Linked DNA regions of Oryzias latipes. The protein of the gene in region 1 interacts with the protein of each later gene in a pairwise test. Links are inferred from orthologs where the notes say so. Each region holds a gene or a part of one and is shown in the gene's direction. Other genes may lie near its edges.

Region 1 (7,686 bases):
CTCCGCGGGACCCGGTTTATTGGATGTAGCGCAAGGTTTGTTACGTTACCGTTTTTGGTTTGAGTTTTCTTTCCTCCGAGTCGGTGTATGAGACAAGCTAACCGCTGCCGTCGAGGTTTGCTAGCTTGGAGATTTAGCAGACTTTTTATCCGAGTTTCCGGCGGTCTGTGAACGCAGCGTCTTCATATGTCGTCAGCCTGAGCTGCATTCTCGGAACTGTCAATCTTGCAGGATTTTCCAAACTTAACCCAAATACGACAAATAATTATATTTCACTCTCATCTGAGTAGACATTAACGGATGTTGAAATAAACAAATAACACAATTATGTTATTACAAAAACAAAATATACCTATAGAAGACCGCAAAAGGGGTGTCAGACTGTTTCTTTTTTTTTTTTTAAGATATCCTGCCTTATCTGCTACTGATTACCTGGATCAGGTGTGCTTCATGGCAGGTTGGTTGGACAACATGTAGGACACCGGCCCTCGAGGCCTGGAGTTTGACACCTGGAAAACGGGGGTGTAAATAAATTCATTTATTTGTGTATGTAGACACAGTATTTGTGACTCTTTTGTTGATTCTATGAAGTTGTTTAACAGATTGTTAAATAAAAGAGAAGAGAAAATATCTGCTTTCATGAGGATTTTGACACAGGAGGACCGGAAAAAGCCTTAAAACCTGTTAACTTACTAAAAATACAGCAATTAAGGACAAAAATAACATTTAAAATGCCTATGAAATTATTATTAAAATTAGAGTTGAAAGCATATTTTTTAAAATAGCAAAATAACTTTATAAATGAGTTAAATCAATGCAAACATTTTTTTTAAAGTCCTTCAAAGTTTAAAAAAGCATTAACAGTCTTTTATTTTGAAAAGTGGCGCTGGACAAACTTTCACAGCCATCATTCATGACCTCCGCTGGGTTCTGCAGCTCTGTTCCAGAACGATGATGCTGGAGACGTCAGTGACGAAGACGAGGATGACGACGACGACAGCGGGACAGACCACCAGAACTCTGAGAGGTCGGGGACGCAGCTGCAGAGGTCGGAGCGGCGGTCAGGAGCGACTCTGCCGGACACCTTCCAGACCGGCAGCCTGCTGTTCTACGAGAGGTTCAAGGCGTACCAGGACTACATGCTGGGTAACGGGGGACCCCAACGCTCGCATGGAGGCGGTTATATTACAGTACAATCATGCAAAACACCCACGACGGTGTAGAAAGAGCTGCAGATGGCGTTCAAACTTTATTGTTCACAACAGTGATGACAAAGCTTAGGCAGAGGCTTCAAAATAAAAACGGTTGGAGGTCAGACTCCCTCTGGCTGAAAGAAACCTCCAGCAGATTTAGGTTCTGACTGGTTTGGGTCGAGTCTGTTTTAATACAAAGGAGGGTGGGCCGGGTCCTGGGCCGACAAGGTCCTGGACGGACAGAGTCCTGGCTGGACCTGCATTGGTCAAACCTTTAGAACTTCCTGGAAGTCTTGTAAATGGCAAAGATCTCCTGGTTTATGTAAAGCCGAGTATCATCAGCCTAGCATGACGCCTGATAATGTTACCTAATGACAGTAGTGGGCCCAGCACAAAGCCCTGTGGGACACCGTCCCTGTGAAGAGGACCTGACCTGGACCCCGTTTTGTCGTTTGTCTTCAGGAGACTGCAAGCCCTCAGAGGTGAAGGCCTTCACTGCAGATTACCTGGAGAAAGTTCTGGAGCCGTGCGACTGGTTGGCTCTGTGGTCCACCGACATCTTTGACGTTCTGGTGGAGGTGAGCCGCCGGGTTCTCTGGGAGGTTTTGGTTCTGGGCAGAGAGGCTCACAGAGCCGCTCCGGTTTCAGGTGCAGGACCTGGACGTGAAGAATCTGAGGGCGTGCGTGAAGCTGGTGCTGCCGCTGCGGTGCGACGGCAGAGGCTGCCGGCTGGACGAGGACGCCATGACCTCCGTCCTGGAGGCCACGCAGCACCGAGTCCCCCTGCAGGAGCTGCAGGTGGTCTACGATGAGTCCGGAGACTTTGACCAGACCGCTCTGGCCTTGGAACATCTCAGGTAGGGACCCGCTGATCCACCTTCAGGCTCCTCAGTGGTTCCAGATGTTCTTGAAGCGTTCCTGCCTCCACAGGTTCTTCTTTAAACACATCTGGCGGGAATGGGACGAGGAAGACGAGGACGACGACTTTGATTACTTTGTTCGTTGCGTGGAGCCCCGCCTCAGACTGTGAGAACACGCCCCCACAGATCCTTCAGTTCTCCACACTTGGTTTTGAGTTTTCTTGGGCTTCTAGGTACTACGATGTTCTGGAAGACCGGGTCCCGGCAGGCCTGGTGTCGGAGTACCACGCCCTACAGGAGAGCTGCTCCCGCTGCTTCCGGCAGTTCTCCGAGCTGCGCAGCGGCCTCAGCGCCGACTCCGACTCCGAGCTGGACAACGTGTCCATGGTGGAGGGCCTGAAGCTGTGCGAGCAGCTGGAGACGCTCAAACGCAAACTGCACATCATCGAGAACCCGCTGCTGAGGTGGGTCCCGCCGCGGAGGCTCTCGGCGTCCCAGCCGGACGCCCGCACACCGTCTCCTCGTCTGCTGTGTCCAGGTACGTCCTGGCCTACAAGGGCAACAGCCGGCAGCAGTGCGCGCAGAGCCGCGGGCCCAGAGCGTCGGGGCTGACGGCGGTTCACGTGGTGACGGAGTCCTGCAGCTCCATCCAGCTCCAGTCGCTGCTGAGCGTCCGCCTGGCGCCGCTGTGCTCCTCAGAGGACCACCAGATCCAGGTCAGCGGGACCCCTCTGCTCGCTCTTATACTGAGGAACCGGGTTCTTCTGAGAACGGCGAGCTCTGAGCTTCTCGGTCACTTCCTCAGTTCCACAGGGATCCGGTGTCGGCTGTGGATTCCTGTCACCATGGAGACGTGGTCATCATTCTGCCCGGCAACTACAGCGTCAGCAGCTCCATCTTCATCCCAGACTCCATCACTATAGAAGGTATGAGAGCCCCGCCCATTTGAGGGGAAGTGGGCGGAGCTAATGCTTTCTCATCACATTGAGGGGACTTTTCAACACAAAAAGGAGGAAGAACAACAGAGAGCGTAAGAGAAAATAATTTATAAAGGAATAAATACAAAGATCACTGACGAAGGATGAGCAGCATTCTGGAGAGACGGGAACCAAAGAAATTCAGTTTCATTTATGCTCAGAAGCATCAACAGTCGTGGTTCTATGTGTAAAATATCTGTGATCGGATCAAAGATCGGATCAGCCGTAAACAGACGAGCTGCAGCAGAGACCAGGGGCCTGTTTCAGAAAGGAGGTTAAGTGTAAACTCTGAGTGCATTAACCCTGACATCAGGGAAACCCTGGGTTTTCTGTTTCAGAATGGGAGGTTTGTTAAACCAGAGAAAGCAGAGTAAGTCAAACCCGTTTCTGAAAGAGAGGTAACTTATACTCTGAGTCAGTATCCATGGTTACTTATGCTGTGAACCTAACCTGGTCGGGAGCAGGTTTTATTCTCCAAACTCAAAGTTTATGCCGGTCTCCTCCCCTTTTTAAAGACGAAGCGGTATTTTTCGCTTTAACCTTCATTGCCCACATTTCCGTCACACAGAGACGGTCTAAGTGACAAGAATGGCTTGTCCTTTTTTGGAGGACCCAATAGACGAGGAGGCTGCATTAATTCATAGAGAATTATATTTACCTCGTACGAAGACTCGTTTTTTTTTTCATTTTTAGCTGCTGCCATGTTCTTGTAATTCCTGCAGGATTGCATCTACGTGAAAATTAAATCAGGGACATTGAATTAGATTAATGTAACAATTACTTTTTGGAAACACAATTTTCTAGCACTGCTTACTTTCTTAATCCCATATAAACCTATACCACTTGATCAATACAAGGGTAGTGTTGCAGCGTGTGTGTGCTGAGCGGGGTGCGAGCCACGAGAGAGAAGGGGAGGGGCGACTGCAGGTGCAGATGGGGGGGGGGGGTGAGCACGGAGCGGAGGTGTGTGCGTGGTATATATTGTGTGTTTGGAGGACGGAGCACTTAGTTACATAAAGAGAAGGTGTCATTCCCAGAATAACTGTTTTGGATTCATTCTTAATCCGCTCTGGAGGTTGAGGGTTTCCAACGGGAAATGAACCCCGAAGGAGAATTCCCTTCGGCCCTGAAGGAAATCTCCCCTGCGCTTCTGACCACGGTCGGAAAGACGAGAGAAAAGAAAGGAGAAGTCTTCGCGCAGCGAAACGTTCAACAGTAGACAAAAGTTCACTGTTAAAAACACAATTGCATGTACAGTGATCCCTTGATTATCGCGGGGGTTACGTTCCAAATAGAACCCGTGATAAGCAAAACCCGTGAAGTAGAAACCTTTATTTTTTTTACAATTATTATACAATGAAATACACTATTATACATTGAAAAGAAAGAACAAACCATTTAACAGGCTAAATCAATTGTTTTTTAACAAATAAAAGTACTTTAGAAACGTTTTTTCAACAAATAACTTCTGTAGTGTGCTGTCAAATAATAATTTCAATCATCGATAAGAACAGAAGGCTTTAAATTGCGGAGATTAGCCCCGCCCACCGCGACCCGAGTGGATTAAACGGAAGAAAATTTAAAATGATTATGAAAAAAATAAAAAAGTACAGTGGGACAGATAGTGACTCCGGTCTACTTTTTCACTGCTCTTCATACTGAGCCGCTGCATCCTCTGCAGCGTTTTTTCCTTTTGAAGCCCGCGGTGCAGCTGGAGGTGTGTTTGTTCGGGAGAGGAACATAGTGATAGGCAGTTGTTGTCGCTCTTTTTTCTTCTTTGCTAAAGATCCTTATACACCGACATGCCACCATCGATTATGTCGGAGAACTGTAATGAACGGCTCATCAAAGGGTCCCATTCTTGAGCTACTCGCTGAGTGACTTTTTTAGCCAATCAGAATGCAGGACACAATGCACAATCCAAATCCGTGAAGTAGCGAAACCGTGAAAAGTAAACCGTGATATAGCAAGGGATCACTGTATTAATATTAAACTGACCAACGTTTGCAAGAGGGGAAGGTTAACAAAAAAGTCCTCTAAACATTACCGACGTTAAATGCATTTCCCCCCCAGATTGGTTCTGTACACTATGCAGCATTTCATGCAATTACACCAGGAAGAACACTTCAAAAGTACACCTAAATATCCCCATTTTTTATTTCACACCTTACGCTATTTAAAAAATTATTACAGTCAATATTTTATAACAGTGATTTAAATGCAAACTTAGGCATTAACTTGAGCAGCTATGTTTTCCACGCTAACTGTCTCTGTTTTGCAGATGCAGCGGTGTTGCTTTTCTTCTGGAATATGTGCTCATATTCACTGTAACTCTGCAGCAGCACGTCAAGTTCAGCTGCCGAAAAATACGCAGACCTCTTTTTTTCACGGTTGCCATGGTGACTCGTGATATCTGCACTCCATTGATAATGGCTTCTTATAGTCGCGGTGCGCACGCTTAACTCCGAATCAGTCCACTCAGAATTGATTGACCTAACTCCCATCAGCTTCTCTGAAACAGAAAACTCAGAGTTGTTAATCTCTCGATTGACCAACTCAGAGTTCAACCTCAGAGTTGGTCGAACCTCCTTTCTGAAACAGGCCCCTGATGATCTCCTGAAGGGGATTTTATTATTGATTATTATGAAGTGCTGGTCCACTCATTATTTTTTTTAATTGTGACTTTTCTTCTTGGCGGGGCGGAGCAGGAAGAAGGGTTAGGGTTAGCTAACAGGTGCTAACAAGAACATTTAGCCGTGGATGCAGTTAGAATCCATGGAGCAAAGCTTCAGTCTGCATCTTTTCCTCATGTAAACATGTGGGAATAACTTCAGCCTTTATTCTGTCTGGACACCACTGGAAACATGAATCCACCTGATTGTTTACGCGGTTCCTCAGGACTGAGCGGCATTTCTGCATCCGTTAGCTCACACACCGTCCCAGAGCCGTGGTTCTACCGGGAGAACATCGGCATGACCACCGATCTCCATCGGAAGGGGCGGAGCATTCTGAACGGCGTTTACATGACGCACCTTTATTCCGATCAGGCGTTCATTCCGATCACTTCTGTCCGTGCAAACGCAGCTATTCAGCCGTTTTTCCTCATTCCCAGAGCGGGTGGTCGTCCACAGAAAGGTTACGGTGTGTTTTCCAGAGGTCAAAAGGAGGAACGTCAAAAATCCGGACAAAAAAGAAGACAGATTCAGTTCTGTGGCTTAACTAGAAAACTCAAAACTTTAGAAAGTTCCACAACATTTTGGAATCGGTCATTGCAAACGCCGATTTTTCAGCGACCTGCAGCTCCTGCAGCTTCAACACAAAATAACTTGTTTTTTTCCAGAAGCCAGTATAACACTTTTCCTGCTCTGACGCCGTCTTCCGTTCAGGTGTGTTTCTCCAGGTAGACGCTGCAGCTCTCAGGTGTTTTGTCTGTCTTTAGGTTTCGGCTTTCCGGACGAAGTTGTAATCGAGAAGAACAGCAAAGGCGACACGTTCGTGGAGACGTCAGCCGCCGACGTCCGACTGTCCAACATCAAGTTCATCCAGCACGACGCCATCGAGGGCATCCTGTGTGAGTGCGGCCGCCGTCACGCGGCTCTCAGACGCTTTGCAACACGCCGACCGCAGATGGAGATGTGGTCCCATGTCAGGTTTCTGTCAGAGAAGATCCGGATGCAGGTGTTTGTGGGAGGGGCTGAGTCACTGGCTGCGGCATGGCCTGACTCTTCTGTTGGAAGTAATTCTCCCAAAAGTTTCGGATTTCATCCCGTTGATCTGATCTAAAGTGAAAGTCCCATCGGTGTCACAACTGTCTCAGTATTCGCCCCTCCCTCAGGAACCATTTGATGGTTTAACTCCCCAGTCCTACCCTGTGGGCGTCACCACGCTTTCAGACGGCGTGGTTCCATTAGAGTCTATGAGCTCGCCTGAGCGTTTCTGCGTTAGCATGTTTTCTGACGTGGGATTCCGTGAGCACGAAGTCATAAAAACACCTGAGCTGCAGCTCCAGTGTCCACGACCTTTGAATTCATGGAACCGTTTCAAGTTTTACGCAATCAACGCAATTCCACCGGATTCTGAAGCGGAGAAAAGCAGCTCGGCACAGTCTTCGTCATTAATGTGAAGCAAAGGCGCAAAACCGCTTTTCTCCACGACAGAATCCGTTGGTTCGTGTTAAGCTGCACAATAAATAACAAATGCTTCGTTATCGCGATATCAAGCTGTTCAATACGTATATCACAGAAGTCGACAAACATTGCAGTAAATTGTAATCTTGTTGTAAAACAATCTCAAAGTATTTAACGAATCAAATCAATCCCTGATGTTAGATGTTCACTTCTGTATACGAGGATCGTCTGGAGCAGAAGTTATGTTGACTCTTATTTCAATTCAACTGTTGCAGTGAAATGGAAATATTGAATTTAGATGTTTTGTTCATGTATCGCAAGTTATATCGTCATCGCTATATTGATCCCTAATATCGCAAAATGCGAGTTTTCCTCAGATGGTGCAGCCCTAAACAGTCGAAGAATTTGTTATTCGCCGTCACCGGTGACATTTCCGGTGTTAAAGGGTTAAAGATGACCTCCCAGATTTTAGCAACATTCAGGATTTAGCATGATGAACTTCAAAAAATCATAAACACAACAAGCTGGA
Region 2 (8,325 bases), on another chromosome or scaffold:
AGGCTTGCAGCATTAAAGCCTTGTTTAACTTGTATTTCCATCTAATAAATACCAACTTTTTGCAGCTTCCACTGGCTTCTTCATCTTGCATTAAAACAAAACGCTTTCTTTGTGGCTTGGACTGAGCAAGTCTAGGCAGTCTTTTCCAACATAAGGTTGTTTTTAGTTGATTCCTTTCATTCCACAGGCTGTGTTTCAACATGCAAACAGGTTTACCAGTCAGCTCCATTGGCTTGGTTTGTCTCTGTTGCTTTCTGTTTCTTTGTATGTCAGTTTTATGTCAATATTACGTGTCTTGTGTTGTGGATGTCTTCTCCACAGCTGATTCAGAGATCAAAGCATGCTGGAGGTCAAGTGGGCGCCTTTGGAGCTTGCTGCAATCTGCTTGTTGTGTTTTGCTTGTGTGTCTGATGTGCACTTTGGTGTTTTTAGTATTACAGACTGACAGGGAGCCTGTGTGGGCCAATGGAATATATGGTAAGATATTCAAAAATACGAGGCAAAAGTAAAAAACAAACAAACACATGACATCACAGTGGCGCGAGAGTTGCTTCATTTTAGTGTCAACTAAATTTGAAATATGGAAAAAGTACTATAGAAGAGACGTGTGACATGACTAGAAGACTGTCTAAAATCATCAAACGTCTAAGAAATTAATAAAAGTTATTTTATTGGGACTTTTTGTACCTTAGTTACTGTACTTGTAGAACTTTCTGTCACATATACACATTAAGATGGCATGTGAATTAAGTTTTAAATACTTTTTGGGGTTATTCCATCTAAATTGAACACAAAGCTCCTGCAGAATCTTTATTTCAAATAGACAGTGAGGCACAGTATGTAAAGCACATTAAATGAACCCATACCAAAATTTAGCCCATTTATCCGTCCATCCATTTCCTGAACCCGCTCACTGTTCACCAGAACTTGTCCCACCCACTGTTGTGTAAAGGCGGAGTACACTTTTAATTGATGGGCCAAAACTTAGTCTGGTCAGATAAAATATTGGGTTAAAGAAAAATAATTTTTATGGTGCATACAACTTTGTAAGTGATTTAGTTAGATGAATAAAATGTTCAAGGTTTAAAGTAAATTCATTGACTTTATTTGAGAACTGGACTGAGCGATCCCTTGGGCTCCAAGAAGCCAAAATCCCATAGACTTCTATTTAGAAATAAACCATTATGACTCAGTCAAATTCTATTAGTCAGAAGAACCATTCTTGCTCTGATACCCTTTTTTAACATGTTCTTGCTAATCTTAATTGTATATTTTTCATTATATTTCTTCATTGCAAGTTATTCAAGTTATAAACTGGCCAACCAGATGCCTCAGTAACAGCATGCAGTTCTCGCTGGCCCCCACCTCGAACATTTGAAATGTTAGATTCTGAGGCCTCTTTCAGTGGAAGAAAGTTAGTGTGGACTTCCAACAAGCGTCCTGATTAGTGACAGTAGTTGCCATAGAAATGGAGACTGGGACCGACTTGGACCAATCACTGCCGAAAAATGGCGACTGAATTGGCTTCATTTGGTTGCCGTAAACCGTTTTCTGTGGGTTACGTCACACTCACTCAGTCCAGTTCTCTTGTACAGTTAATGGGTAAATTATCGAACTGCCATAGAACTCCCAGTTTCTGATGGTGAACATACTTTTAAGAAAACTAATATTTGTCTGCATTTTGGGACTAAAATAAACTTTAACGCCTAAATTTGTATCAAAAAAGGACAAAAAAAGAACTTTGCTTCTATCTCATCACATGCATTAGTTACTGTGCTAAAATAATTATTAGATTTGAAAAACATCTTCGACAAATAATTCTAGAATTCATTAATTTTAAATGAAATGATCCTGGATCATTAGTTAAACTAGTCAGAGATTTTCTGCAAATGTTAAAAGTATTCAGAGGTGATTTTTTTTTTTTGTTTATCTAAAAGGTTTTTCTAAACAACATAAGAAATATAAAACAGGATAATTTTATACTAACTTTGAGGCACAATTCTGTTTCTAAAATAAATTTTGAAAAAGAAAAAACTTGTTGTGAAAGACCTTTTTACACATATTCCCTACTGCAGCAGTGTAACAGATAAAAGTAAAGCTTGTTCTTGAGTTACCTTATTTAAGTAAAACTAGAGTCTGAAGTCAGCATGTAGTCATGCATGAGTAATTACTCTGCCATGTATATGCACAAGGAAATTTATTGCAGTTTTCCTCAGACTGTACTCGGACGTCAGTTTATTAGTCTTACCCCAAAAAAAGCACATGCAGTTTACAGCAGTCCAGCAATAAATCCTGCCTTCACCCTTGCAGCTTTAATAGGTCTTTTGATAAAGTTGCTTTAATGAGCCACGAATTGAACTTTACGGTTAAGTTTTTTTCAGGGCTGCAGGTTTGGACCTTTTGGGACTGGGTTGCATAATGTTCAGAAAAATGAAAATCATATCCTTCAAGAGAGGAGATGCTTCAATTATTTACGCAGTTATTATGCAAGACTGGATTCATTATAACTGTGTCTACCTTATAAAAAGTTGCAATAGTCTCTTCTCTAGTCCTTTTCTGTAAATCTCAAAACGGGTACACAAATTTTGGGGGAATTTTGAAGGTATTGTGTGTCAACTCTAAGCCACTGTGGTTCAGGCTGGTGGAGGGTGCTGTTTTTCACTGTTAATCATTAGTAGTAAATACTGCAAGCACGGTGATGGAAGGGGGCACTTGGCAGGGGTGTGGTGCTTAAATTTAAGCTAGAAGCACTTTTTTTTGTTGTTTTGGTGTGAATTGAGGACTTATTGCTGTTCCCCTCTGCTTAGTTCTTGCAGCACTCTATGCCTGGTTTCCTCTCTTTTCTGCAACACTGACTTCTCATCAGATCCGCTTGACTGTCACAGGCAATTTCTGGTCTCTCTGCTTTCTATATTTTAGTGTCCTAGTCATGTGAGTGTTTCTCATATTCATTGTGCAGATGTAACTCATGCTTTTTTTTTTTTTTTAAGTTTATCTGGCTCCATCAAGGTTATACAGAGTGACCTCCTGTCACACAGAATTGCTGGCTAAAGGGCTGTGGGGTTTGAAGGAGGGAAGGGAGGGGGGTCTCTTTGTCCCAGTCTTTGAAATCTGTTTCTCAAGTTACCAAACACGAAGGCAGGACTCTTGAATGGCCAACATAAACAGCCCAGTTTTTCCACGCATGCACTGCTGTGCACGTGGAGACACACACTCACCCTCTTCCTTCCTTCCCCATCTCCCCCCCTTGAGCATTAGAGTGCATTAATGTGCATGAGGGCAGTATGTAGCTGTGCATGCATATGTGCACTTCAAAATGACTCTGGCTGCAGAGAAGGGGGGGGGCAGGAAGGAAGTAGAATGGAAAAGAAGAAGGTGGAGGGGAGGGGGGCATGCAGCACTGCACGGTAGAGTAAGAGAGAACGAGAAAATGGGAGGCAGCATCACCCACCCAGACAGGAGGAGGGGAGGGTAGACAGCATGCTCGTCCCCTCAAACAGACAGAGGTGGAAGGAAAGCGGGCATGAGAGGCAGACACGAGGGGAGAAGAGAAGTACAATGAAGGAGTGCTATTGTCCATCCTGACAGCACTGCCATTTCACCATCCGCTGAGAGACGGGAAGGGTGACAAAGGAGGGGGACGAAAGAGGAGGCAGCCAAACGGAGGAGAGAGGATAGATGGAGAGGAGCGGCAGGAGCCGGCAGTGACTTTGTGAATTAACCGAGCGGAAGAGCGGATCAGAGAGGAAGCGCGATTTTTCTGGGAGTGGATGAGGAGAAAGCCAGAGAAAGAGGAAGGAGAGGACGAAGGATCCGACTTTCTGTGGCTGTTCAAACATCACTGGGGCTCTTCTTATTGGAACATGAAAACCAGCTTTTCATGAATGGTTTATTATTAATAATAATAATAAAAAACAACTATAGAAGCTTTGATATTTAGTGAGAAAAATGAAGAACACAGAAGCAAATGTGTTGCTCACTTGATACAAAACATTTTTTAAAGGACTTTTTGTAAATATAGACTCTCTTTTCGACTTCTAATTTTTATATTTTCTATAATTGTAGATCTGCAGGATGTTATACAATCATTTCTTTTAGAAGTTTCTCAGAAGATTCAGCTTTTTATGCAAGTTTTTGTAACAGTTGTCTTTTAAATACTAAGGTGTGGTGTTCCTTGTTAATTGAAAAAGGTTTTTTTTATTATTGTTTGATATGATTTGTGATTGACTAGCTGTTAGAGTCCGTACATGCATCCAATGTGGGATGTCAACACTGATTAGGTGTGATGGGTGGCTCCAAAGCAGTCAAACTTTGATCTTAATCGTATTCTTCTTCTAAAAGCCTGTGATTTTTTTTGTTTGTTTGTTTTATCCTGCCGTTCTGTGGAAAAAAATCCAAAAGGCTCATCTATTTTTCAGTTTGATTCCACAAAGCAGTTATCCCAGAAAATTCCTGCTGTTGTCGGGACTTTACGGCATACATGCTCGGCGGGCTTTTCTTTTAATGTCTGTTGCCATAGCAACGGGAAGCAGCTGCAGACAGAACTAGATGTAAAGTTCCTCTTTTCCTTTTTTTCAAAATTCATTTTAAAAACTGGTGCTGTTTCATTGCTGTTGCATAGATCATCATAGATGTAACATCTTAGAAAGAATTAGCCTGTGCTTTTGTATGATTTGTGGGTTTTGTGTTAGGGGTCATAGTTGTTAACTCTAACTTTGTCTGTGTGAAAGTTTGTTATCCAATGTTTTTTTTTCAGTTCATCTGTCCTCAATGTGCTACTATCAGGCATGACTGTGTGAATTAGATGATCACTCTGACTTCACTTGTACATATCCGTGGGTGCTGCTGTTTGACCCTGAGGCCTATGATCATCAGTCATCAGCAGTGCTGCATCTATGACAGTCTGTTCATTACAGCGCTCATCTGTTGGTGACTCAGGATTTCTCTTCATGTAGAGGGCCGTCTCCTCTGCAGTCACCTGACCTTCACTGTGTTTTGTGCACCAACATCCTAGAGCTAGGGTTGACTCGACTCTATTAGTTCTCTCAGAAGGAACAACTGGTGTTCCTAGTCTGCTGTTAACACGTGTTGGATGTGTTGCCTATGGAACGTTCTAAGCCTCTTTGGACTTAATTTTGGTTCTATTAAGTGTGTGACAGACTGTTAATTTATTCTGCATGCTTTTTATCTGAAGACTTTGTGTCTTTTCCAGCCATACTACTTTATAGCTTTCTGGAGATCATCCAGGCCTGTCTGGCAGTGGATGAGTATATCTGGATCCTCCTTGGTGCTTTTTGTCCAAGACCAGATGGATGGCTAGCTAGAACTGCTAGACAATCCCTCTGTGGTGCTAGACTGGTGTAGGCGACTGTTCCTTTTGCCATTCATCCAGCACCCACTACAATCTTGACCGTTATACTTTTGGCTTAGTTGCATTCTCAAATGTTATAATAAGCCATTCCTTTTGGTATTATTAAAAGGTTGGTGCCAGATGTGCAGCCTTGTGTAAGTTATTCATCTTTTGCAAGTCTAAAGGTCAATGTTCTGTAAATATGACTAGTGCCTCAGCAGCACTAAGGTTTAGGCAGGACAGCTTGCTGCAGGGCTAAAAGTGTACATTTGCCTCCCACTGAGGTCAAGTTGTTACAGACTGTTTCATTTGTGGGATGTTTGTTGTGAGCGACTGCTAATGTAAGAGTATTTGCCTTCTAGGTTGGTCTATGCAGAAAGATGCAGTGTTTTAAGGTGTCTGTTGGACAGAGCTGAGATCTGACTATTCCTTGCGTTGGGAAGGGAGCTGTCCTGGAATATAGCCTTTGGCTTTTTTATATCATACACTTTGTGGCAGTGTCAACATTCTTCTCTCAGGTAAACAACTATAATCTGGGCTTTTTATTGAATTGAACTACGAAACAATCAGATGACAGCAGCTGGCACTGGGTTAACAACAAAGGTCAGTTCTATTTGAGCTTCTTTCGAACCCAGATGAGTGAGTTCATCTTCAGCACTGATGAGCTCTCACTTTGCTGAAGCTGGATTATGAGATCAAACCTGACAAATCAGGTTTCATTACCATCACAACGAGCCCACCAGTAGTGTTCATCAGCCAATGACCCACATTCTCCCGTGTTACATCACCACCTTGGTGCTGCAGTGTCTGTCACTGTACCAGTCAGACAACATCTCCCAGGAGGCCTACCAAGATTCAATGGTGCTCAAGGAATAAACAGAAAAAAAAGAACAACAAAAAAAAAAAAGTGAAACTTGGTGGTCATTTTTAGGGAACACACTTAAACAAAAGCAGGCTCTTTTGTTTTTAGCCATATCAGGTACCTCTGTCAGGAACCGGCTCCGCTCTGCGAGTCCAGTCTTAAAAACAAACTTTTGTTTGGTTTTTCTTTGTTTTTCTATGGGTGTCTGTAATGACCATGTCTAGCCTCTAGCCATCCCAAAACCTTAAGTTCAAAAGGCATTCAGACGGGACTCACTTGTATTTTTTGAGTGAGGTTCTGTTAAACGGGACAGCCTGGAGAACGGGCGAGCCATCGAGGGAGGGGGAGAGGGGGCGCGAGAGATCATTTGGAAAAGAAGAGAGGAAGTGGTGGCGCAAGAGAGGGCGGAGGCGCTGGAGAGACAGAGGCTGGCAGAGTACATTGTGTGGAGGAGGAGAGAGGACTTCCAGGACAAGAAAGGAGACGGAGAGAAGGGGGGAAAGAGCACCGAAAAAGGAAAAGAGGCTTCACCAGAGGTCATCTGGAAGAGGAGAGAAGACGAAGAAGGAGACGCAGGAAGGGAGAGGGCCAAAGCCATTCAGAGAGGACATGAAATCATTTGGAGGAAGAGGGAGAGAGAGTAAAACAGGACCCGATGACACATTTGAGGGTGTCATGTTCATGAAAAGTAGCTGCTGAAGAAGCTGTTGCTACTGCTGACACAAAACTCTGACGCTAGTTGAGAGCAGGAACCCTCCTCTCTTCTCCGGCAGGTACCTGCTGTATTATTGACCAGTTAAAGTTTTGGATGATGTCTGCACAGCCCTTCTTCTAATCCCTGTTTTGGCTCCTAATGGGATTTTTAAGCATTTTTTATGGGCCTCTGTCAAGCAGGATACGACTGCCAAGCGGAGCTGCATTACACATGTGCATGTCATCATTGCGGACTGGCAAGGTTTCCAGCACCTCGTGCATGTAGTCATATCGCATTCAAGTGCACAGCTTTGGTTCCGGAAAAACAGGCATTCCGAGTGACAGGAACTTGTGGGGACTCTCTAATGACAGCTTTAAAACTGGCTCTCACTCAGGGATGGTTATGTTGGAAGGAAATACTCACTGATTGTTTTACATCATGGGAGAACACCGAGAAAGAACTGTGGAGCTGAGAGTTCGTCTTCATTAGTCCTGGGAAATCAAACAAATCACAAAAGGATTGAACCAACATGAGCTGTACAAGTCTTGAATGAGACGTTTTCTTTTTGTCTGATTATCTGGGACATCCCACTTCTCTGGACCTCTTCTCATTCTGCATTCACTGTGGACAGAGTTGTAGTTGAAGCAGTTTGGTTTGGCTGCCTCACAATGACTGTAGGACGGACAATCAGATGCAGCAACATGGATGCAGCTCAAATCATGAGCAAGACGTGCAAATGGGTTTGTCTTTTCAGAGAAAAACTTTAGTTTGACAGACACTTTGATCCACTACAGCCTTGGCATCAAAAACTCTCTCTGCAGGATCAATATGGAGCTTGTGCCCAAAACTAAATACACCCACTTTCGGAGTGAGTCGCTGAGTTCAAACGATGACACCAACTCCAATCCATCGTCGTTCCCTCCTTCCAGTCCTGCCACCCCTTTGACCCCCTCCCCTGGTATACCTTCTTCTCTTTCCTCCTCGTCTCTCACTCCTATTTTGCCCCCCACCTCTCCCCGTCCGGCAGAAAACAGTCCCACCACCCTCTGCTCCTTCTTCCCAAGGATGAGTTCCCTTCGTCTGGGTGTCACTGCTACTCTTCTTCCAGGACTCAAGGCCTCAAGCAGGTCACAGCCATCTCAGCTGGCTGTGGAGTCCTCTGGGGACGATAGGAGCAACTCTAGCTCCTCCCCTCCTCTTCACCAACCTGCTCCCCTCCTAACCGCCCCCTCTCCCCCTCCCCGACCTCCTCTGCAGGACATGAACCGGCTTGGAGGGGCGTCCAGGAGGGCACGGGTGGAAGGTGGGCAGCTGGGAGGAGACGAATGGACACGGCATGGCTCCTTCGTCAACAAGCCTACCCGTGGCTGGCTCCACTCTGACAGTGTGGTCAGCACCACTGGTGTTTCTTACACTGTA

Evidence for each region.
Region 2: the proteins of shcbp1 (region 1) and shc1 interact in a two-hybrid assay, tested with the Homo sapiens proteins (2 studies listed by BioGRID, with this or other methods). The link is inferred for Oryzias latipes from reciprocal best matches to the Homo sapiens genes SHCBP1 and SHC1.

Annotation. Positions count from the first base shown.
Region 1 is NC_019861.2:37,267,401-37,275,086, forward strand, and holds part of shcbp1 (SHC SH2 domain-binding protein 1), read left to right. Parts: coding exon 1-35; intron 36-936; coding exon 937-1,146; intron 1,147-1,655; coding exon 1,656-1,771; intron 1,772-1,841; coding exon 1,842-2,050; intron 2,051-2,123; coding exon 2,124-2,219; intron 2,220-2,286; coding exon 2,287-2,517; intron 2,518-2,591; coding exon 2,592-2,769; intron 2,770-2,858; coding exon 2,859-2,979; intron 2,980-6,469; coding exon 6,470-6,601; intron 6,602-7,686. UniProt on the Homo sapiens protein: May play a role in signaling pathways governing cellular proliferation, cell growth and differentiation. May be a component of a novel signaling pathway downstream of Shc. Acts as a positive regulator of FGF signaling in neural progenitor cells.
Region 2 is NC_019874.2:18,331,953-18,340,277, reverse strand, and holds the start of shc1 (SHC-transforming protein 1), read left to right. Parts: upstream 1-3,416; 5' UTR 3,417-7,734; coding exon 7,735-8,325. UniProt on the Homo sapiens protein: Signaling adapter that couples activated growth factor receptors to signaling pathways. Participates in a signaling cascade initiated by activated KIT and KITLG/SCF.